Diceros bicornis minor: one gene and its partners. The protein of the gene in region 1 interacts with the protein of each later gene in a biochemical or structural test. Links are inferred from orthologs where the notes say so. Each region holds a gene or a part of one and is shown in the gene's direction. Other genes may lie near its edges. The genes, in order: GTF2I, BTK and USF1.

Region 1 (7,440 bases):
AAACTCAAGGAGAAGGTGATTATTCTTCAGGCCTGGTGAAGACATTCAGACATCACCACATCACTTGCTATTTCAAAGCAGTCAGCAAGGCTGTAAGGTCAGAGTCTATGTGAAGATGCATCTGAGTTGGTGGAAGTGCTCACACTTGATCTAAATCCATCTCTAGCCTGGCCCAGGCCCATTTGACTTGGCTTTGTCTCCCACAGTATGCAGTAGAATGGAGGTGTCATATTATACGGACACTCATCTGCAGGATTGCATACACTAGGTTAAACATTAAAAAAAGAGAGAATTATTTGAAACAATTTGAAATGAATAACGTGCAGGATTATGCCAGCTGTTGGCCTCTGTGTGCTTACATCTTAAATGAGCGTGAGCCGAGCTGTGAATCTGCTCTTCTTGCAATCTGTCTTGGTGCATGCATCTTGCTACATTGAGTGTGACCTAAACAAAGGAGGATTCCATACTATGCTATCCCTAAATACAAATCAATGATTTTTTTTTTCATCTGTTGCTCAACCCAAAATACAGCAAACTGATATTATGTTGGAAAAACAACTGGCTTTGCAGGAAGATGTTATTCAAGTGGTTTATAGCTATGTTAATGTAGTTAATGTAGTTAACAAGTTAATGTAGCATAATGCATCTAGCATCATACCATCTGTACCAATGGGAGGGAGAAACTGGCTAAGGAATAGCAACAAGTGTACCAATTACAGCCAAGGTGGTGAGCCAGGCCTTAAGAAAGATGGAAAAAGCATGATCTTTATATGACTGTAAGACAAGAATTTGAGGGTTACACCTATTAACAGTAGTACGCTGAGAAAAAAGCTTGGCCTCTATACATTGTTCAAACCACACTCTGTTCATTGTCCCCAGAGGGCCAGCTTTCTGTCTACAGGCAACTCAAAGCCAGCTGAAGTTTTAAGAACTGCTTTAGGATTTAACAGTTTTAGGAACTGCTTCAACTTCAAGGAAGTTGGAGGTGTTCACCAGGAAGCAGCAAAATTTCACTCTGGGGCCGGCCCCATGGCTTAGCGGTTAAGTGCGCGTGCTCCGCTGCTGGCGGCCTGGGTTCGGATCCTGGGCGCGCACCGACACACCGCTTCTCTGGCCATGCTGAGGCCGCGTCCCACATACAGCAACTAGAAGGATGTGCACCTATGACATACAACTATCTACTGGGGCTTTGGGGGGGAAAAAAAAATTAAATTAAAAAAAAATTCACTCTGAACTGTTAAATTCATAGAAGAAAGGGACTGCCTCCCAAATAAGTTTTTAAGGATGACAAGGGTAATCTGGACTAAATAATTCTTGCCTTCCTAACTTACTTGCTAACACCCTTCCAGTGCTACTCCACGACTCCACTGCACCCTGTGAATCCTCCTTTCACTGTCCTTAACCTCCCAGTCTTTCCAAGAAAACATACTCACCCATGTCTACAGCAGCTGAACGTTTGCAGCTTGTAGGCTGGCAGCTCTTACCAGCTAAGTTGTAGGCTTCTCAAGAGTTACACTTGCTCCTGAATATATGTCAGTTGTACTTGGTATTGGGAATATGGAATTCAATTAAATATTCCAAAACGTTAATGAAATATGAGTGCAAAAAGAACACTGTTCTTATGAAAACTAAATTAATGCTGTAGAGAGACTTGATAAGTCACAATCGAATTAGGTGAGCCCAAAATGACTGTAAAAGATTGCAGGGGAAATCATAAAAAAGTAGAAGTCTTCTGTCATCACATTGCCTCGCAGTGATCTTTAAATTTTCCATTTATTTTAAAGAAATCCAACATGGAAATTCTAGGTGAGGCTTCATGAGTGCAGTCTATGGAAGAAAGAAGACGGGGAACGCCAATCCGTGAACCCAAATTCAAAGGAAAGGTTTTGAACTTACATCAAAAGACTGGCTGCTCGCAAAGTTTTATTTCGAGCGACAAAGACCGGGAGGCTGGAAAAAGTGCCGTGGTCGCCACCTACCGAGGGCGGGTGGGGGTGGGGTGCCGGCGTGGCCCGAATCTCCGGTGGGGAAAAAAAATCACAGGATCATTCGATTTTGTGCTTTACCTAAACATCTAAACTCTCTGGGCTCGAGTTTCTCAAACTTTTGAGTTTAACTTCGGTGAACAGTAACGTCTATTTTCGAAATTCACGAGCTAACGCAAATTGAGAGGCAAAAAAATGACCGAGGGAGGGGTTTGAGTAAAATTGCTTAGCGGTTAACAGAACAGAACGGGCGACAAATCAGGTTTTCTGCTCGCACTCCGTGGCTTTTCCTCCACTTTCCTTCTAAATGTTGAGTGAGAGACGGCGCGTGAGCAAAGCCGGGGGTGGGGGGGGTGGTACATAAAAACAGAAGAGTCCCCTCCCCGGGCCCGTCCAAGTTGGAGCAACGGTCTCTTGCGGCGGCGTTGGAGGCATGCTTTCAAAAGGGACAGTTCTTTGTGTCCCAGAGGGTGGTGCAGGGTGGAGGAAGTGCCTTGGCGGGGCACCGAGGGTGGCAGAGGGCCTGGGGCGCCCCGACTTTGCCGTATTCCGGCCTAGCAATTTGCAAGCAATCTCGGGGGCACGAGTTAGTGCGAGCCCTGCACCATGGCTGAGGCCCGCTGGAGCCACCCCCGGCCTGGATCTGTGCCCCTGCGCCCCGCTCCCCTCCCCCACACGGCGGCCGCGCAGGCCCCAGGTGCAGCCATGTTCTTGCTCCCACCACCCGCGCCTCCATTGACAGTCCTTGCCGGAGAGGGCCGGGCGCCGCGCTCGCCGCGTCCTCCGGCTCGGGGCTCGCCGGCGCGAGGCTTCCTGGGAGTCGTAGTCCACCGCCCCCGCCGTCGCGTTGGTGGGGACGAATCGGAAACTACAATTCCCGCTGGGCGGCGCTGCGGGTGCGCACGCGCAGCGCGCCTTCGAGGAACAAAAAAAAAAAAGAGGAGGAGGGTGAGAGACAAGCTCTGAGAGCAGAGAAAAGGGGCCACCGGTCGCCCCCCCGCTTCGCCGCACGCGCTGTCTAACCGTGGCCTTCCGCCTGCCGCGGTTGCCCCGGCCTCTCCCTCGGTCCCCTGTGAGCGATCTCGGCGCTGAGCGAGGCCCTACTGGGGCGGCCATGCGGCGGTGACAGGAGCTCGGCCGAGACGCACGGCCCTCGCCCTCCAACCTCCTGCGCGCTCGCCAGCTCGCCTCAGACCGAGGCTCTCCGCCGCGGCCGCAGCAGCGCGGCCCGCACCCGCTGCCCTTCGGCTCCCCGGCCCCGGCGCTGCCTGGAGGCGGCTGCAGTCGGGTGAGTCCCTGGCGCCTCACCCCCGCCCCGCCCCGGCTGCCTCGCGCACGGGGCCTTGACTTGGGCCTCGCCCCCTCCGGGGCGCCACGGACAGGGGTCGGGGGCCGGCGGCGGCCGCGTGGGGCCCCGGGCCCGGCGTGGGGGTGGGGCGGCCGCGGTCGCGGGCACGGCAGTTGCACGCGCGCGGGGGAGGGGCGCCGCTGCGGGGGGGCTCCCGCGTGAGCCCCGCGCGAGCCCGCGGGTGCGCATGCCCGGCGCTGATTGGCCGGCGCGCGGTGCGGGGGCGCGCGCGGTGCCAGGCCCGAGCCGTGGGGTCGCGCTCGGCCGGGTGTCTCCGGGGCTCGTGCGCCCGGCGGCAGACGCGCCGGATTGGCCGGCGGGCGGCGGGGCGGTGCCGGCTGCCTGGTAACTGCCGGCGGCCCCGAGCGCCGCCCCCGCCCCGCCCGCGCCCAGGTGGAGACGGAGCGGGCTTTGTCCCGGCGCGGCCGGCGCGCCTGCCCCGCGGGGCCTGCTCTGGGGGGGAAGCCGCACAATGACCGGAAGGAAAGCCTCGGCCTGCGGACCGCGAAAATAGGCCGCGTGGCTTCGGCCAGCGCCCAGACGGGGTTTCAGGAGACGAGGAAGACAAAAAGCGGCCCTCCTTCCTCTCCCGCCCTCCGCCGCCCTCCCCCGAGTTTCTCCGCTGTGGAGCGGCCGTTTTTCCGCGGGGAGGCTCCGGCGCGGGGTTGACGTCGCGTCCCGTGGGCCGGCCCGCGCCTGCGAGTGCGGGCTCCGCGCACACTTCCGCCGCTGCGGATGGCGGCTCTCCCGCGGCCGCTGTGCGGGAAGGTCGTCGCGGGGGCTCGGGAGACAAGGGGAAGTTAGTGTGCAAACGAGAGCGTGCCGTGGCGCGGCCCGGGCCGGCCTCGTCCCCAGGCGCAGGCCTCCGATGGGGGAGACTGATCTTATTTCCTGCTGCACTGTTTTGCTTTGTTCCGTCTCCAGCCGCGGCGGTCTGCTGCCCTGCGCTCTTCGTTTCGTCTGCGTCTTGGGATCCTGGCGCACGCCTGTAGGCTGGCATGACTTTTTCTTCTCTTTAAGTCGTGGAACTCTTTCTTGGAGTCACTGTTAAAGCCGTCTCATATTGTTCGGTCAGAATTGGTTATTTCTCCCTACAGTGTCCAAATCAACTTGCTCTCCCCTCCGAGGCGGGCGTCTTTACTTCCTCTAAGTGTGTGTTTGGTTTTGCTTTGTGTACACGTGTCTGGCATGGTCACTAGGTATTTAACTGTTGGGTGGGTAGGCAGTAAGCCTTTTCTGCCTTGCCTTTCTCCCTCTTGCAGTCTACACCCGTCAGGAGGCCGTGCGTATATAGTAGTAACCACAGCCAGCATTTGAGTGGTTCTTATGTGCTCGCATTTCTTTTAAGCAGTTAACGTATTATGTTTTCTTTTTTTTTGAGGAAGATTGGCACTGAGCTAACATCTGTGCCAATCTGCCTTTTTTTCCTTTTTTCTCCCCAAAGCCCCAGTACATAGTTGTATATCCTAGTTGTAGGTTCTTCTGTGTGGGGCGCCGCCTCAGCATGGCTTGATGACCACTGTGTAGGTCCGCGTCCAGGACCGAAACTGGGGACCGCGGGGCACCGCCGAAGGGGAGAGAGCGAACTTAACCGCTAAACCACCAGGCCGGCGCCTATATTTTCTTATTTAATCTCTTCAGAACAAGCCGGTAATTTCATTTGATAGATGAAGAATAAGTATAGGAAGCTGGGTAATTTAGTCTTCGTTACCAAGCAAGTAGACCTTGACTCTAAGATTTGAACCTAGGCAGGAGGACTCTTGAATTCCTGAGCCAGTGGTTCTCAGACTCATCAGCATCCCCTAGAGCACTTGTTAAAACACGATTGCTGGGCCCTGCCCCAGACATTCTGATTCTGCAGGTTTGGGGTGGGGCCGGGTAACTTGCATTTCTTACTAGTTCCCATGTGCTGCTGCTGCTGGTGCTCTAAGGACTGCTTACTATGGTGCAAAGTAAGTTATAAGTGAGGGAAATTTATTGTAGATGTTTGCTTTTCATTACTTTAGAACTAGATCTTAACCAAAAATAATTTGGACTGCTAACTAGATTGCTTGGAAAACTGACTTGAAAGTTAAAAATTTTTGTTAGCCATGATTACAAAATTAAAAGTTTAATAAATAGCCATGGGTTTAAGTACAGAATAAAACTCGAACTATAAATAACTAGGTTTTTCTTTCCCCCACTCTCATTCATTTATTAATTTATTCATGGCACAGGCATTTATCTCCTCCTAGAGATACATAGAGCTTCCCATCCCCACCACGAAATCTAAGGTCTAGGAACCTGGAAGGAGTGATGGGGCTTGAGCTTGGCACTGAGGCACTGAGGTTGGGCCAGGCTGTGGCAGGCAGAGCAGCCAGAGCTCAGAACCACACCCCCCCAGCCCTGTGCACCTCCAATGATTTGGCTTAGTTTTAAGACTACGGACTACAGGGGCCAGCCTTGTTAAATTCGTCAGGCTCAGCTTTGGGGGCCCAGGTTCTGTACCCAGTGTGAACCTGGACCACTCATCGGTGGCCATACAGAATAGAGGAAGATTGGCACAGATGTTAGCTCAGGGTGAGTCATCTTCAGCAAAAAAAAAAAAAAAAAAAAAAAAAAGACTACAAAGACTTTGTCGTTAAAATGTAGGCTTTCCAGTTTTTTTTCTTGGGGCACAAGTCTTTTTTTTTTTTTTTTTGTGAGGAAGCTCAGCCTTGTGCTAACATCTGCCAAGTCTCCTTTTTTTTTTTGCTGAGGAAGACTGGCCCTGGGCTAACATCTGTGCCCATCTTCCTCCACTTTACGTGGGACGCTGCCACAGCATGCCTCCACAAGCAGTGGGTTGGTGCGCACCAGGACCCAAGCCCCGGGCCGCCAGCAGTGGAGCACGAGCACGCAACCGCTAGGCCACGGGGCTGGCCCCAATAATGAATTTCTTTCTGGGGAAAGTAATTTCAAATTAGGTAGGAGGAATGGGATTAGTTTCCAGTTATGTTCTATCACTTTTGATGATCCATAGATCGATGATGTGTTCCAAAACATAAAAGACAAAGTCCCTACTGCAGGTTATTATCTAAAGGAGTGGTAAATAAAACATTGAAAAATTACTAAACACTTAACTTTTTCTGTTAGTACTGGTGACTAGCTATTTGCATTGCATTCCACCTAATTGAATTCTGCTATTGTTTCATTCTCGGTTGAAAACATGAGATTGGCCCTGAGCTAACATCTGTGCCAATCTGCCTCTTTTTTTTTTTTTTTTTTTTCCTCCCCAAAGCCCCAGTACATAGTTGTACATCCTAGTTGTAGGTCCTTCTACTTCCACTCTGTGGGACGCCGCCTCAGCATGGCTGGACAAGCAGTGCGCCGGTGCGCACCCGGGATCCGAACCGGGCCTCCAGCAGCGGAACTCGCGGAACTCGCGCACTTAACTGCTACACCACGGGCCGGCCTGGGTCATTGTTTTTAATGCTTTCCTTGGGGCTGAAGAATTTGGATGGATCTGAACAAATCGCTCAATAGCATAGAAAACCCATGTAAGATGAGCTTGTCCCTTTGTGAAAAATAAATTTGTGCCTGCCATTTCCACATAAACAGCTCTTTTTTTCAGGTGGTTCCTGGCAGTGATTTTTTTTTAAAAATTGTAAAATATACAGAACACAAAACTTACCTTTTAACCATTTTTTTTGGGGGGGGGGAAGATTGGCCCTATGCTAACATGTGTTGCAAATCTTCCTCTTTTTCTTTTTTCTCCCCAAAGCCCCAGTACGTAGTTGTGTATCACAGTTGTAGAGTTGTAGGTCTTCTATGTGGGACGCACCTCAGCATGGCTTGATGAGTGTTGAGTAGGTCCACGGCCAGGGTCCGAACTGGGGAACCCCGGGCCTCCGAAGCAGAACACTTGAACTTAATCCCTGTACCACTGGGCTGCCCCACATTTTAACCATTTTTAAGTGCACAGTTTGTACAGTTACATTGTTGCGCAAGCATGACACTATCCATCTCCAGGACTTCTTCCTTTTCTTAAACTGAAACTGCCTATTAAACAATAATCCCCATTCCCGCCTCGCCTAGTACCTGCACCCACCATTCTACCTTCTGTCTCTATGAATTTCACTGTTTTTG
Region 2 (7,748 bases), on another chromosome or scaffold:
ATAAAATACTGAGGTGATGCAGTATCGTAAACTAGTCAGACCTGTGTTGCACTCCCAGCTCGACTGCTAGGTACGTCACTGCAGGTGACTGAGAACTTCGCTGACACTATGAAAACACATCACCTATACTGTAGAGGTGTGGGCTAGAGACAAATGCAAGGTCTCTACCACAGTAAGTGGGAAGCATGTCTAACAGTAATTACTACTAACCTTTTTCCGGAAAATCGGCTTAGTCTGCCCACCATAGCCACTCTGCTTCCTGTCATAACGGCGCTTTCCTGGGAGAGCAAAAGTTATTTGGTATGGCATACTGAAGAACATAAATCACAACAGCCACATGGAAAAGTCTTCTTGCGGGTTTTATCTTGGGCTTTCCATCAGAATTATTAATGCCCAAGCCTGGGGAAAAAACTACACTCGTATATTATACCACTACATAAACGCCACATTAAAACCAAATTACGTACAGATCGTCTTACCCTGGGCATACAGAGAATCCTTGCCCTTCTTGTACTGTGTCACTTTGTGGGGTTGGTGCTTGCCACACTTCTTACAGAAAGTCCGGCGGGTTTTCGGAACGTTCACCTAGTAAATGAACCGTTCAGAACAGGCAGTGTTATCAGACGCCAATAGCACAACGCCCTACCCGACCCAGCTGCCGCCAAGGCATCCTACGAGGACTCGACTCTCCAACTCCTCGCTAACACACAACGCTGACCAGAAAGTGGTCCAGCCCCATGTGCTTCCAGCAGAGTGCCCTCCGCCGAGTCTCCCAGCGGAAGGACAGCGCAGTCACTCCACCCCCAGGTAAGTCTACCTCTCTAGCCCATCAATTCAATTCCTGGCCCCAAAGCCTGGCCCCTTCGAGGTCGATCCCGGCAACATTGAGTTTCTTTGGTACAATGAGTCCACGCAAGGGCCTGGACCCATCCCGGGACGACACCGTCGCCGGGAGTGGAAAGATTAACCTGGATGTTACCCTGGCCCCACACCAAAGTCCTACCATGTTTGCGAGAGCGCTATCGGCACAGAAAGAAAGAGGCCGGGCTGGAAACGGAAGTATATAGGCGGTTCCTGGTCGCGCTTCCTCATGGGAGTCGGTGGGAGCGACCATAGAGTCTAAGGCTCTGTGCGCAGCGCCCTCTGTCGGCTGAGAGGACTCGATTCGGAGCTGTGGGCGGGAGCTTAAAGAAAGGGTCAGCCTGAGGGTGATCCGTTCTCTTCGACTTCCTCCCACCCCCCAGCTTTGCAACTTTTCCTGACTTCTTCACTTTTGGGGAAGCTGCTGCGTAGCAGCGTTAAGTGAAGGAAGCAGTGCCCTTTCCAGACCCTCCGGCCTCCCTGTCCCTATCCCTGAGGGAAGCCAGGACTAGGGTCTAGTGGAGGGGCCCTCCACCTCCATCTTCCATTCCTGTTCCACTTCAAGGACACTGGGAACATCTTTCACAGCGAACTGCTGGTTCACTGAAGGCTTGGAGGAAGTCAGTGCTCTAGTTCATCAATCACATGGCCAGCTGGTCTGTTCAACAAATGTTTATCGAATGCCTATTTTGTGGCAAGCACTGTTCTAGGGAAGGGATACAATAATCAAATAATCACGCTCATGCTCGTAAATGTGTTATTACAGACTAAGTACTTTGTAAAGAAGGAGTAATGATCAGCATTAAAGCAGCCCCCTTTTGTTGAGGGAGCAAGTTGGCTGCTCTAAGTTCTGAAAAGATACAATGAAATTGTTCAGCTCCTGCAATAGCAGTAATCAGGCCAAGAGATAGAAAATATCCAGCAGCTCTTCCCTTCCCTCCATACCTGGCAGAAGGCATGCGCTAGGTTTCAAGAGAGTCCAGCAGAGAAAGACTGCAGGGTACTGAGCATTTAAAATGGATTCTCTCATAGAATTCTCACAGTAATTCTAGGAGGTAGGTGGTACTATTATTCCCATTTTACAGATGAGGAAATTGAGACTGTAGGCTGTTAAACGATTTTCCCAGTGTGATAGTATTTAGTGGAGCCAGGATACAAACACAGGTGATCTGACTCCAGAGCCTGGGTTCCTTTACCATTATACAGTATGGCTTTTGTGGCCTGGTAATTGTAATAGCTAATTAATAGCTAATAGCTAATTATTGAGCACTTATTATATGCCAGGAATTTTCCTAATCACCTTACATACTACCCCATGTACCATTATTATTATTTAACAGGTGAGGAAACTGAGGCACAAGAGGTATTAAGTTCCTTTATCCAAAGTCACACAGGTGGTTATTTTGTGGAGCTGGAATTTGATCCCAGATAACTAACACCACAGCCTTGCACTTAACTGTGATATCACACAGGGGAAGCAGGGCATCTGCAGGGTATAGGATGATGAGGAGAGAGAATTGAGCATAGATGGAGGAGGAGGTGCCAGTGGATTATGGGTTAAGGAACTTTGAAAACCTGAGGTCTCCTGCTTGCATAACCCTCCAGGAACACCCATGGGTCCAGAGCTGATTCTCTGATCATCCCCTTTTTGTTGGATGGTCTCTGGGAAAAAGATAATAAAAGCATTACCACTACCTGCTGTATTTCCTAAAAGTTTCTCTGCCAAACAGCCAGCCCATAGTCTCACAGCATTTTCTTCTTCTTTCCAGGCTCTTAGGCAGTCTCACTGGCCTTTGAGATGTTTGTAGAGGTTTTTGATGTTAGTAACATGGAAATATGAAGACAATGAACATGACCCCTCTTAGTCTAATCAATCTTAGTTCTTTCTATCACACCTCGTGTCACATGACTTTGGTTTTGATTCCCTTCACCAATCCTGGTCTCTGTTTTGGACATGCTCCTGCTCATTAATTTCCCCTGAGAAGAGGTACTCAGAACTGAACACAGGATCTAGATATGACCTGGCCTTGCAGAGTAAGTGGCCTGTTCACTTACCTTTGTCTACATATTTTACTTCTATAAGGAAGCCTAATATCACCTTGGATTTTTCTGGCAGCCATGTTACTGACATGACATTTCTCTTGATTACTATCAGCAAAAACCTCTGAACCATTTTCCCAAATGCTACTGCTATCTCATTTTCACCTGGAGTCCTTTGAAGTTCAATGTCCGGTGCCCAGTTATGAGATGGGATATGACCCTTAGCCCTGGTAAATTACACTTCGTTGAAGTTGGCTTATCACACCAGGTGATCAAGATCTTTTGGAAACTGATTGCTCTGGTTTTGTCATCCAGTCTAGCTCACAACAGCCTTGGGCCATTCATGGATTAGTTAGGCTACTTGCTGTATCTTCCTCAAAGGTCATTAATAAAAATGTTGAACAGGATAGCACCAAGAATAGAACCTTATATTACATCGGGAATCTTTTGAGGCGACACTAGGCCATCCATTTGCTCTATTTGGGTTCAGTCCTTCTGTCATCTAGCCAAGTGTGTAGGAGATTGCTCATGGGCAGAGAGTGAAGAAGTGCCTAGGTTTACTTTCCCCTTTCCCTTGTCTTGTTCTCCCTTGTCCAGATCCCCCATTGTATGCCTATCAATTCCCAGTCTCCACCCCAAGATGGACCTTGAGAAGGGCCAAGGCATGTGACAACAAGTAGCATCTAACTAAAGAAAAGGGGAGGGAAGGCAAATGTCTGTGACCAACTCTCAGGCAGGTGATTGGAGCAGCTGTTCAGGGGGTGGCTAGTGAAAAATTGTCAGTGAAATAGGAAGATCCTGCAACACTTGCTGCCTATCTATCTTGTGCAGAGGTGAGGATTAACCACTCACTATGCTACAAAATGCCTTTTAAAAAAAGCACGTTGCCTGAAAACTTCTGATGGATTTCTAGTGAGATCTGTGATCTGATTCTACATTTGGATACAGTGCCTGGGGCAAGTAAAGATGGCAGTGCCTGATGTGTCAAGGTGGGCAAGCAGATCAGTCACCAGGGGCTCTGCCAGTGGTGTCTACATTTCCTAGGAGAATCCTCCGGGAGAAGATTGCTGCTAGAACATAGGCTAGGAGGTGGCTGAGGAAACATTCAGGCTTCAAGAAACATACCTTGTCTGGTTTATCGCTTTACAGGATTAAAGGGAAAGGTGTAAATTAAGAGTTAATCCCTGAGGCAGAATCTTAAATGGAGAAAATCAACATCCACAGAAAATGGGGAAGGGCACAAGTCTTTGCGTGGGCTCACATTCAGACATTTTTATCTGTAGAAAAAATGCTTTCTTAGAAAATGACTCAGCAGGGGGAAGTCTTGTCTCTACCTCTGTCAGGCTCTGTACTTTGGGGTCCCTTCATGAGCACTCCATCTTTCACTATCAAGTTTCACTCTGAGACCCCGAGTCTGCTCTGCCTTAGAGGACATGAGACTCTAAAGACACTCTTCCTCTTTGGTCCCTTTGTTTTGTCTTTGCAGGTCTGCATTTCTCCTCTTTCCTGTAAGTCTCCACTCCCTGTGCTGACCATCCTCACAGTCCTTTAGGTGTGTCGTCCCTTTATCTCGGGGAGGTCAGCCTGACGACCTGTCTGCTCAAACAAACCCCATCTAGAGTCTCAGTGGCCTCAGTAATGTTGAGAAGCGTTCTTTCAGAGCGGACTCAAGATAGTAGTGTCAGAGGTCCCAAGCAAATGAAGGGCGGGGACAGCTGGGGGGTGGAATAGGGACAGCAGCAGGGAACCAGATACCATGCTGCTGAGAAGAAGAAAAAAAAAGACATTGGTTTAAGTCAGGAAACAAAAAAAGGGAACTGAGTGGCTGTGAAAGGGTGGGGTTTGCTCAGACTGTCCTTCCTCTCTGGACTGTAAGAATATGTCTCCAGGGCCAGTGTCTTCTGAGATCGAGTCCCACCTTCAAAGTCCTGGCATCTCAATGCATCTGGGAAGCAACCTGCATTAAGTCAGGACTGAGGTGGGTCTGGGGCATGGCAGGGGCTGGGCAGCAGCAGCAAGTAGCTTTCATGGGATCCCTGAAGGCCAGAGAGAAAGCATGGCTGGTGCCATGTAGTCTGCTGGCTGAGGAGGCTGACGGAGGGTGGGAGTGTCATCAGCACAAGGCCCTGGCGGCCCATTCCGATGATCAGAAGGGACTGTAAGGGTCCTTTCTGAGGAGGGTGTGGGGGGAACAAAAAGAAAAAAGTGACATGAGGTGACCATCTGAACATGTAGCAAAAGTTGGAGTGGGTCACCTCTGCAAAACTTGGCAGAAAAGTAATACCGCCGGTGGCAGTAGGATAAAAATAAGCCCTTTGGTCAAATATTGCTTGAAGACCCAAAATGTATACTTGTATCAATGAGGCCCTTAGAAGAAATTCAAAGAGGCAGATTGTCTGAGAAAACCGTAAAAGCTCACATGCCGCAATAGGCCGTTACCTTTGTAAACTGGGGAAAGGCACCGGCCAAACCAGGGTGTAGGCCACCTGCCTCAGGCTGCCTTGGGCCACTGTTGCCAGGATCAAAGCTGGCTTGTTGGAAGCATTGTATGCGCCAACCTCGTGGTAATAGTGGGTAAGAGACTTGGCCAGAAGAAAGCAGCCTCAGCCTCAGCCCAGACAGTGTGGCCAACCCCTGAGGTCATGGGGAAGGTTTTTCCTATTACCATTGCCTGCCATGTGCACGGCTTTTTCTTCTCTTGTCTTCATCATTTCTCCTCTCTTTTCCTCTCCTCTCCTCCTCTCCATCCACCTCCTCCTTCTCCTCATCCTCCTCTCCCTCCTTTCTCTACCTATATCCTCTCTTCTTTATTTCCTCCTTTATTTTGTTCATTACCACATCCCCTAGAACAGAGTCAGTGCTTAATAAATCATCGTTGAATTGCGTTGAATTGTTCTTGCCCCTTTCTTCCCCTGATCTTTCCCCTTTTCCCTTTCCCCCGACTTGCCTAGTACGCTCCCCGTAGGATAGTTGTGAGCAGCAAGTGTGTTAATACATGTAAAAGCAGTTAAAACGGGGCCTGGCAATAGTAAGTGCTAATATCTCAAGGTTTGCTATTATTTTTGTACTGCCTGAGACCTGCCAGTATCCCCAGAGGGCCTGCCTAGAGCAAATAGTGTGGCATTTAGAATAAAAGGGATTGCTGGCCCTGATCAAGACATCCTTGGATGAGTTGCTGGACTTCCAGATAGAATCCTGGTCCAGTTTCCTGGCCACCCAGCTCTCCAAGCTCAAGGTCTCTATCCTATTCTGTGCATTTCCAGAAGCAGGGCAGCAGCAAAGCCCAGAGGCAGGGGTCTCTGCAGCTCAGAGGCTGTCCTCTGCGCTGTTAGTTTTATGCTAGTTCTGCTCCTTCCCTCATTTTGCATGCCAAACCCCTGAACCAAGGGTACTACAGCCTCTCTGGAGCCTGTTATGTGATAAAACAATCTCACCCTCCAAATAAGCCACAAAATGCAAATACTCATGGAACCTAAAGCATTCTACCGAAGCAATATCCCTTAGGGCTAGCCCTATTGGCTCTATCCTGACCCTTTTTATATTCAGACTATTTAAACTATCTGCTTGTGTTACAGTCCAAATTCCTGTTGCTTATGGCTGGTTATGTGTTTGTTTAGAATCCTCTGTAAACTCCTTACGGTGTGAACTAGTGCAACTTTCCATCCACCTCTGGGCTCTTGGTGTAATTTTAAATTATCATCACTATGATTTACTATTTCCATTTGAGCAAATTTCCTATAGTGAGTTTCCTTTCAGTGTACTAGACCCATACCAGGAAGTGACTTAGGTATAAGGGGAAGATATGGCTTTTGAAAACCACTTTGAGTGTTCTCCAAAGAGTCATCAGATACCTGCTGCTTTTCGCCCAGTGATGCCGAGATGTGATTGCTAACTCTTGGGAATAAGGCAGAGCTAGAATTTTCAGTGAGGCAGTGCTCAACAAGCAGCTAGAGAGGAGACCTTGACCTAATTCACTCCAAAGCTGCTTGGTTATGCAAATGAAGCCATCAAGGGAGGGGGAGGGAGAACTCCTCTGAGGACCCTGAAACAAATGGGCCACGTGTGACTTTCAGTTTCTCTGGAGGTTCGTGTGCACTGACCGAGGGTGTACAGAGAGCGCTGGAAACACAAAAGCCTTAACCCCAGGCTTTCCTCCTCACTCTCTGAGAGCCATCACCAGATGCCCATAGGGTTAATGTTGGTTATCTGACCCTCAAGGAGAAGCTCAGTTCACTATCTTGCCTCCCTGAAATGAAAATGAACCATAGTCTATTAGCTCATCCCTAGAAGAAGGAAATTCTAGGGAGTCAAGAGAAGTTAAATTTCAGACAAGTTGGAGGTTGGAAGGTACTGGACTTCAAGATCACTGGCTCAATGAAAAAACAGATTCGTCTGCAATAAAAACAGAGTAAAAAACTGATTAGAAATGGAGCAGATAAGAGATAAAGGCGTGGGGAAAGCAGGCTCTCAAAAACTGCTATTCGAAGTAGAAATTAGTGCAATGTTTCTGGAAACTATTTTGTCACTATGTTTCAAAATGCAAAATGCACATACTTTTTGACTTGGTAAATGATGCTTATATAGAGATCCTAATATCATGGGAAAATAATCAGAAATAGTGTTAAATAAGAACTTTAAATATTTGGGGGGAAAATGAGTGTTAGATGGATGGATGGATGGATGGATAGATAGATAATGTTAAGAAGAATAAGCAAACTACAAATAGTATGTGCAATACGATCTCAAATATAAGAAAAATGCGCAGAAAAAAATGGAAAGTAATATGCCCGAATATTAATGCCTCTGGATTATGAGCTTATAATTGATGCTTTATTTTTCGTATTTCT
Region 3 (7,983 bases), on another chromosome or scaffold:
ACAATGTCAACCTTCCACTACACATCACCTCTATCCTCAGTGTGCCCCCAAACATCATCTCGAACGTCTCCTTGGCCAGGCTCACTCGTGGCCTTGAGTGCCCCGCCCTACAGCCCCGGACAAGCCCTGCCTCTGGCCCTGGCCGTGGCCCCGGCCCCCCAGGTGAGGACCCAAGGAATACCCAGGATTAGGAGAGGGGACTAGAACTCTAGGCTGAAGCTCTGATGCTGGGGATCTGCCCTGGGAAGGGCAGAGGCCTCAGCCCTGGGGCTGAAGTTTACTTTCAACTGCCTCCCTGGATTTGAGGTTGGGGGAATCCAGTAATATTATCAGATTGTGTGAAATTCATGGGGAGAGGATCTCTGGCAGCCTTCAGATCACTGATATACCCAAGAATGGGGGTCTGTGTCAGACACATATAGCAGGGATTACTAAGTACAAGGTGGGAATATATAATAGATGATGGTAATAACAATAATAACATTAATACTAATAGCTAACAATTATCAAGGGCTTACTATGAGCCAAGTGCTGTGTTAAGGACTTCGCAGGCATTAGCTTATTTCATTTTCTCATAATCTCATCACACAGGTATGGTGGTTATCCTTATGTTACAGCAGTGGAACCTGAGACCTAGGTTAAGCAATTTGCTATTAATTTAGGTAGGAGGTGGTGGAGGTGGGATCTGATCTTTGCTCTGACTCCGGTTCCTGAAGTGTCACTGATGAGAAGTACCAAGGCAGCACAGGGTAGTGGGTAAGGATGTGGGCTACAGAGTTAAGCAGACTTGAGTTGAAATTTTGGCTGTGCCACTTACTGTTTTTGTGATCTTAGACAAATCTCTCTGAGTCTCAGCTTTCTCAAATGTAACATGGGGATAAAACCCCTATATTATAGGGTTGTTTTGTGGGGGAAATAAGATGATGCATTGTAAAATATATAGCAAGGTGCTTGGCACCTGGTGGGAGCTCAGTAAAGGCAGCTATGAGCCAATAGTTAGGGATATTGGTCTGAAAGGATCAGCCACATGGAGCATCTATGCTGGGAGTACCAGGGCCATATTGTAGCAATGCTAGGAAGACCCACATTGGAAAGGGTCAGGGCTGGTCTTGACCTTTGTATTCCTGGGACACCTCTCTCTCAACAGATGAGAAGTCGGAGGCAAGTCCAGTCCCAGGTCCCCTGGCTGACTCAGGCCCAGCGGACGTGGCCCCTGCCCTGGAGGACTGCCTGTCCCAGGAGGTGCAGGATTCCTTCTCCTTCCTAGAGGACTCAAGCAGCTCAGAGCCGGAGTGGGTGGGGGCGGAGGATGGGGAGGTAGCCAAGGCAGGAGCAGCAGGAGCAGCCTTCTCCCCTGGGGAGGACGACCCTGGGATGGGCTACCTGGAGGAGCTCCTGGGAGTTGGGCCTCAGGTAAGGAGGAGCTGTGCTGGGTTTGGGGGTGGTAAGAATCCAGAGGGTGGACAGGGCCACCTGGTCCTGAGCCATAATGTGTGTCTACAGGTGGAGGAGTTCTCCGTGGAGCCGCCCCTGGATGACCTGTCTCTGGATGAGGCGCAGTTTGTCCTGGCTCCCAGCTGCTGTTCCCTGGACTCTGTTGACCCGGGGCCCGAAGCAGAGGAAGAAAGTGGGGAGGAAGTCTTCCTGAGTGCCTATGATGACCTAAGTCCCCTTCTGGGGCCCAAATCCCCAACCTGGGAGGGTCCAGGCAGTCTGGAAGAAGAGGTAGCAGCGTGTGAAAGACAGGAGGCTCTAGGAAAGGCTGAGGGAGAGCAGGCATGCTGGGAAGTTGGAGAGGATACAGAGGCTGAGCCTGGAAGCAGATGGGATATCAGGGAGGAGGCTGAGGGGAGTCCAGAGAGTGAGGTGGAGGATGGAGAGGCTGGTGAGAAAGAAGGGGAAGCTAGGGGAAGCCAAGAGATGATGGCCCACTTGAGAGAAGAGAGTGGGGAAGAGAAAGAGGCCAAGAGAGAGGAGTCCAAGGGTCAGTGGGAGGATGAGAGTATGGAAGAAGCTAAGAGTGTAGAGGAAGTAGGAGGAAGGCAAGGTAAAGACAAGGAGAAGGAAAGAAAGACTGAGAGAGAGGAAGAGGCTAAGGAAGGAGAGGAAGCCCAGGTAGAAGCTGGAAGGGACCCAGAGCACAGGGCCCGCGAAAACCAAGTTGCTGAGGAGAGCTGGGAAGTCGTCCACAAACAAGAAGCTGTCGGAGGCAGAGAGGATGAGGTCAAGGGACAGAGCGGGGATGGGGACCAAGAGGCAAGAGAAGACCAAGGAGATGGTGAAGATAGCAAGAGCCCGGACGCAGCAGCTGAAGGAGGAGTAGGGGAGGTGAGCAAGGAACGAGAGAGTGGGGATGGAGAGGCTGAGGGAGACCAGAGGGCTGGAGGTGACCATTTAGAAGAGGCCTCCCTCCCTGAAGGGTCACATGTAGAGTCCCTGGAGGTTGATAGTGCCAAAGAGGGCAATGCCCAGTCCTCTGAGACAGAACAGGCAGTCCCACAGCCACCCCGGCCAGAAGAGATGGAGCCTGAGGGGCAGCCCAGTCCAGAGGGCTGCAATCTGTGCCCCTGTCCCTTTGGCTCAGCTGGAGGTGTGGGCATGCGCCTGGCTTCCACCTTGGTTCAGGTCCAACAGGTCCGCTCTGTGCCTGTGGTGCCCCCCAAACCACAGTTCGCCAAGATGCCCAGTGCAATGTGTAGCAAGATCCATGTGGCACCTGCAAACCCATGCCCGAGGCCTGGCCGGCTTGATGGGACTCCTCGGGAAAGGGCTTGGGGGTCCCGAGCCTCCCGATCCTCTTGGAGGAATGGGGGCAGTCTTTCCTTTGATGCTGCTGTGGCCCTGGCCCGGGACCGCCAGAGGACTGAGGCTCAGGGAATTCGGCGGACCCAGACCTGTACTGGGAGTGAGGACTACAGCCTCAACCCCAGAACCTCCCCCTGTAGCATGATCCCTGCTCATTCTCTTCGGCCCTTTAGCTGCCTGGAACTCCAATCTGAAGGCACAGAAGGGTCTGGACCCCGGAGTCGGCTTAGTCTTCCCCCCAGAGAACCACAGCCCCCTGACCCCCTTACACCCCCCCAGCGCCGATCCTATGCATTTGAAACACAGGCTAACCCTGGGAAAGGTGAGAGACTGTGATTAGGACCAGAGCACTGGGCAAAGGGGACAGTAAGTTGTCTTGAATCTCTGGGGTCCCTGACTAGCTGTCTCTTCTGCAGCCCGAGCAGCTATAGTGCCCAACTCTATAGGCTTTGGCCCTCCAGCTTCTCTTTTTGACTGTGGGAGGCACTGCCTTGGTTGGTTTACCTGAGCTTGTCTCAGACACAAAGCACTTATCCCTTAGGAGATTCCCAAGCAAGTCACCAAGATCCTGTTCCCAGGGAGTGAGGTCATTGGCCAAAGGGAACAAAGAGCAGGCAGAAAACTTAGAGGTTTCTCAAAGTGAAGAAAGAAGGGGGAACTCCAGCGAAGTTCCTGCCCTCCTCTGAGGCTGTGAACTTCTCTTCATGCAAGCCCAGGGTGGAGGTGGGGAGGACAGGGCCAGGTCAGAGCCTATTACACCCAAACAGTTCTAGAGCTTCCCATCGTTGTTCTGCTCTTGGGCTCTTGGATACCTCCTGACCCTCTTAGCTCCACACTAGGAGGAACATGTCCAGAAAGCTCTTTGAAGCCCTCGGTGTTTGTTGGAGGGACTGACCCCCTTTCCAGCCCCGCCACTCTCTGCCTCTGGTCACATTAAGGATGAGAGGTCCTGTACAGATCTCTCTGGCCTCTCCTTTTTCCTTTGGAATAACTTCCTCCTATTTCAGGGAAGGGAAATGGAGTCACTAAGGCTCTGGGACTGCTTCTCCAGATAGGCTGGGGCTACAGGTCCCATTCTAGTAAGGGGTGATGTCTCAGAATAAAAGTTGTACTTTTACATGTAAATAGTGTGAAGTCTCATTATTCTTATTAAAGTCTCCGGTGATAGGTATCACATTTTCATAAGTTTGGCCAATCGTTGTCTTCTACTTTTGTTGTTTGTCTGCTCTTCCTCAGTTGTTGTCATGGAGACCTGTGGCTAGAAACTAGAGCTGGGTTCATGGTGGTGAGGAAATGGGGAAGAGAAACTTATATTTACATAATGCTCATTATGTGCCAGTAAAGGCTAGGTAGTCTACGTGCATAGAATCTATGCCCTTGATTTTATTCAGTCCACCTAACAATTCTGTAAGGTTGGTACTGGTACCTCCACTTTACAGGTGAGGAAACTAAAGCTAATTAAGTCAAAGGTTTGCCAAAGATCTCAGAGGTAAGAAGTGGCAGAGAAAGGTCTGAGACCCGAGTTTATCTCGCTCCAGAGACTGAACTCCAGAGTCTGAACTCTTCCCATTACACCACACTACTCCAAATCCATTAAGGGTAGGTCCTGACTGAGAAGAATGGGAATAAGGATACCTCTCACAGAAACTGAGCGTCACAAAAACTGAAGGCCTTGGAGGTCTCTGGGAGAGTGATTGCTGACGCTAATACAAAGGAGCACGCCCAGATCTATGTATGCCTAGATATGTCCTAATTTCCAATAGGAGACACTTCAAAAAGGTGTCCTGATCCAAGATGGCCTCCCAAATAGCCCTTGTTAAAGATGGCGCCTCCGTCCGACGTCCCTCCCTTGCTCTAAGCTGGCCTCTCATTCCTTTTTCCTTGAACTAAAATGGCCGTGTCCAGCAGAAAGACAGCACAACTTAGTCGACTTTCTCCCGTTCTTGCCGAAACAGACCAGGCCTTCAGCGTCATTCCCCCCACGGTCCCGGCAAATTGCTTCTTCCCGACCCCAGAGACGCCCCCAACTCCGCACCTACAGCCCCTATCAAGATGGAGCGAACGGAAGTGGTGCGGCTCAGAGGCTCAGTGGGCTGGGCGGGTCAACCGAGACACTTCCGCCCCTCACCAACATGGCCACGGGCTGGAAGTGCGCATGAGCAGCTGTTCATGGAGATACCCAGGTCCGGAGAGGGAGAACACGGTCCGGGAAAATTGGCGGCTGGGGCGGCCGTGGCCGGTGAGTGCAGGACCGGACGGAGTCTGGAGACTGGATGCGCCGGCAGGGCGGGGCAACCTTGATTTTGTTTCAGTTTTTCAGGTTAGGGCACTCCTGGGGAGGAAGCCTTTGTTTTGAGGGACGGGGCCGTGCCCGGTTCTTTACCTCCTACCCCTCTTTGTGGGCCGAACTCACTCCCCGCCCCCGAGCGCGCACGTCCCCGCCCTCCTGCGCTGCCAGCCGCGGGCCGGGGACCCCGGGGCCGCCGAGCCCGGGGCTGGCTTTCCTGCCTCCTCTGCGGAGCAGCGCGGGCGCGGGGTGAGCGCAGCGGGGCTGGCCGTGTCACGGCGTGGGCTCCCGGGATCGCGCCTGGCCGCCGGTCAGCGGCTAAGCGCCTGCTGGTTGGTGGGCCTGCAGGGAGACGGCGCATTCTCAGGCAAGATCTAGGCGCCTGACTTCTTTCGAGACTTGAGTATTTTTCCCTTTGTGTCCACCCTTAGCAAGGACTCTGGCTGGGCCTTCCCTCGCCTGAGGGTGCACGCCACAACATCCTATCCCGGTTTCCGTGTCGCATATCCCTAATGCTCAGAAAATGCTTCCGGATGTCCAACTAAGATTTGAATAAGTAGCCTAACCCCGTTGCTGGGTGTCCTCACCCAGAAGCTGCTCCTAGCTGACAGCTGTGGGCAATAGAGAAGCCTCCTGTGCCCTGCCCTCTTTCATTGCCTCCTCCTGCAGGCAGCGCGTCAGGTCTGGAGGGGCACTTCCTCCGCAGGTTTGAGGATGGAGAGGTAGGTGGTCCCGAAACGCTAGTGCTACTTCCCCTTGCGGACTGGGATCTTCTTGCAACGCTACTTCCTCCGGACAGTTTCACTTTCAGTCCCCCCCCCCCCCTTTTTTTTTTCGGTTAACACTTTCTTTGGATACGGGCTTTCCAAGGCTCATCTGCTGAAGATTTTCCTTGAATAAGAAAGGTTTGGGGGACTTTATGGGTAGAGAACTTAAAAAAAATCTCACCTCTTTCGTGTCGGGATTACCTTATTGCTTTGTACTATGTAGCTGTTTCTTTCGGAGGCATATCTGCTCGGCCCTTGGTTTTTCCTGTCCTCTGGTTGGGTGTCAGGGTCCTAAGGCAGGCACCTTGTAGATGGATTCCTCCCCCATTGTCTCTTCTTCGAAACCCTGAGCCTGGAGTTTTTTCACTTCTTGCTGAGGCTCAGTTGATTTGGAGTTGTCATGGCAACATTTTAGCAACTGTGTTGTTCTACAGGAAGGCTCGGTGAATAAAATAGAAGGCTTGAAGATGATACACTTGGGCTTTAGGGTCTTTAACAAATGACATAAATCTGGACACCCCAAAACTAGAGCCCTGTCAGTAGAATGGGGAATGAGGCCCAAGGTCTCATAGACAGTGGTGGTCTAAACATGGTCCTTCCTAATCCCCATGATATGGCAGATCATAAAAGCTTTAATAATAATTCATGCCGAAATACGTTGTTTCTCAGTTTTCCAGTATAATTATCCCCTCTCCACCAGGAGTTGGGTGATAACGGAGGGGTGAAGAACACTGTTTGTAGAGTTGCTTTTTCAATCACTGTAGCCCTCAGCATCATAATGGAGGAAGCTGACTGTCCCCTGCAGATGATTGGGTTATGTTCCTGGCTGTGTCTGCATGGAGCCAAGGTTCTAGAAACAGGGGCTGTTCAGTTTCCTAGACTCACTGCAGACTCCCTGATTTCTACCAGGACTTAGCACTCAGGTCTGAGAGGCAGGAGATACGAAGACTTCCAAAGAAGGACCAGTTCCTCGGATGTACCCCCTTACAGAGAGATGAAGGGGTGAGTGAAGAAGAGGTAGGGTCTGGGATGGGAGATGGGAGGCCTGGGAGAATACAAAATGCCTAAGAGCACTGGCTCTGAAGTCAGGCAGACCTAGATTCAGGCCCTAGCTCCATCACTTACTAGCTGGGTGATTTGGTTTCCCATCTATAAAATGCAAGTAGCACTACCTACCTCCTCGTGCTGTTCTTAGTATTCAGTAAGATAGTGCCTGTTAAGTGCTTAGCTAGTGCCCATGTACACAGTAAACACTCAGGAAATACTACCTGTTTTTCTAACCTAACCTACATCTAGTGGGAATGCCAATGAGTTTGGGAGCCATATGTTACTGGGCCAGTGAGCTTTTCTTTCACTTCTCCCCTTATTCTTCCTTTTGTCCCTTCACAAACAGGCAGCAGAAAACAGCTGAAACGGAAGAGGGGACAGTGCAGATTCAGGAAGGTGAGTGGTAGAAACAGACCTGAGACCAAGAGCCCATCGTGGCCTCTCCCCCTCCCCCATCGGCCCATCTCCTGTGCACCCTTCTCCTTTTGAATGACATGCAAGTGGAACAGAGGGAGAAAGGCAGTAACTCACAGACTTTTCTTTTGCTCTTTTAATTCAGGTGCGGTGGCAACTGGGGAGGACCCCACCAGTGTGGCTATCGCCAGCATCCAGTCAGCTGCCACTTTCCCTGACCCCAACGTCAAGTACGTCTTCCGAACTGAGAATGGGGGCCAGGTAAGGGAGGGGGCCAGGTGGCTGCAGGTGTTACCTGGGGTTGGGATTGAGGGAGGTAATCAAACCTGTCGTGGGGAGACCTGGCTTGGAGGATGAGGTGAAAATGTGGACTGTTGGTGGGGTGACTTAGAGTAAGAGGTTTGGAGTAGAGATTGGGGTGGGGTAGGGGCTATGCTGAAACCTCTGTATGGATAAAGAAGGGGAAATGGCTGAATCTATGTCTCTGAAGGACTCTTGTTTTGGGACCCTACTCAAGAAGCTTTATGAGGGGCCCTGAGATCTCCAGCACTTACTCTCTTATTCTCTCTTCCTCTCCTTCCCCTTTCCTCCCTGCTTCTAGGTGATGTACAGGGTAATCCAGGTGTCTGAGGGGCAGCTGGATGGCCAGACTGAGGGGACTGG

Evidence for each region.
Region 2: the proteins of GTF2I (region 1) and BTK form a complex in vitro, tested with the Homo sapiens proteins (4 studies listed by BioGRID and IntAct, with this or other methods). The link is inferred for Diceros bicornis minor from reciprocal best matches to the Homo sapiens genes GTF2I and BTK.
Region 3: the proteins of GTF2I (region 1) and USF1 form a complex in vitro, tested with the Homo sapiens proteins (2 studies listed by BioGRID). The link is inferred for Diceros bicornis minor from reciprocal best matches to the Homo sapiens genes GTF2I and USF1.

The regions. Positions count from the first base shown.
Region 1 is NC_080765.1:1,771,777-1,779,216, reverse strand, and holds the start of GTF2I (general transcription factor II-I), read left to right. Parts: upstream 1-4,334; 5' UTR 4,335-5,275; coding exon 5,276-5,285; intron 5,286-7,440. UniProt on the Homo sapiens protein: Interacts with the basal transcription machinery by coordinating the formation of a multiprotein complex at the C-FOS promoter, and linking specific signal responsive activator complexes.
Region 2 is NC_080781.1:94,497,519-94,505,266, reverse strand, and holds the start of BTK (tyrosine-protein kinase BTK), read left to right. Parts: upstream 1-4,732; 5' UTR 4,733-4,879; intron 4,880-7,748. Other genes in the region: RPL36A (large ribosomal subunit protein eL42), read right to left, coding at 211-278, 480-585, 1,004-1,114. UniProt on the Homo sapiens protein: Non-receptor tyrosine kinase indispensable for B lymphocyte development, differentiation and signaling. Binding of antigen to the B-cell antigen receptor (BCR) triggers signaling that ultimately leads to B-cell activation.
Region 3 is NC_080743.1:67,634,947-67,642,929, reverse strand, and holds the start of USF1 (upstream stimulatory factor 1), read left to right. Parts: upstream 1-4,933; 5' UTR 4,934-5,044; intron 5,045-5,474; exon of another isoform or gene 5,475-5,814; intron 5,815-5,872; exon of another isoform or gene 5,873-5,997; intron 5,998-6,768; 5' UTR 6,769-6,853; coding exon 6,854-6,861; intron 6,862-7,252; coding exon 7,253-7,302; intron 7,303-7,465; coding exon 7,466-7,581; intron 7,582-7,921; coding exon 7,922-7,983. Other genes in the region: ARHGAP30 (rho GTPase-activating protein 30), read left to right, coding at 1-162, 1,148-1,413, 1,504-3,141.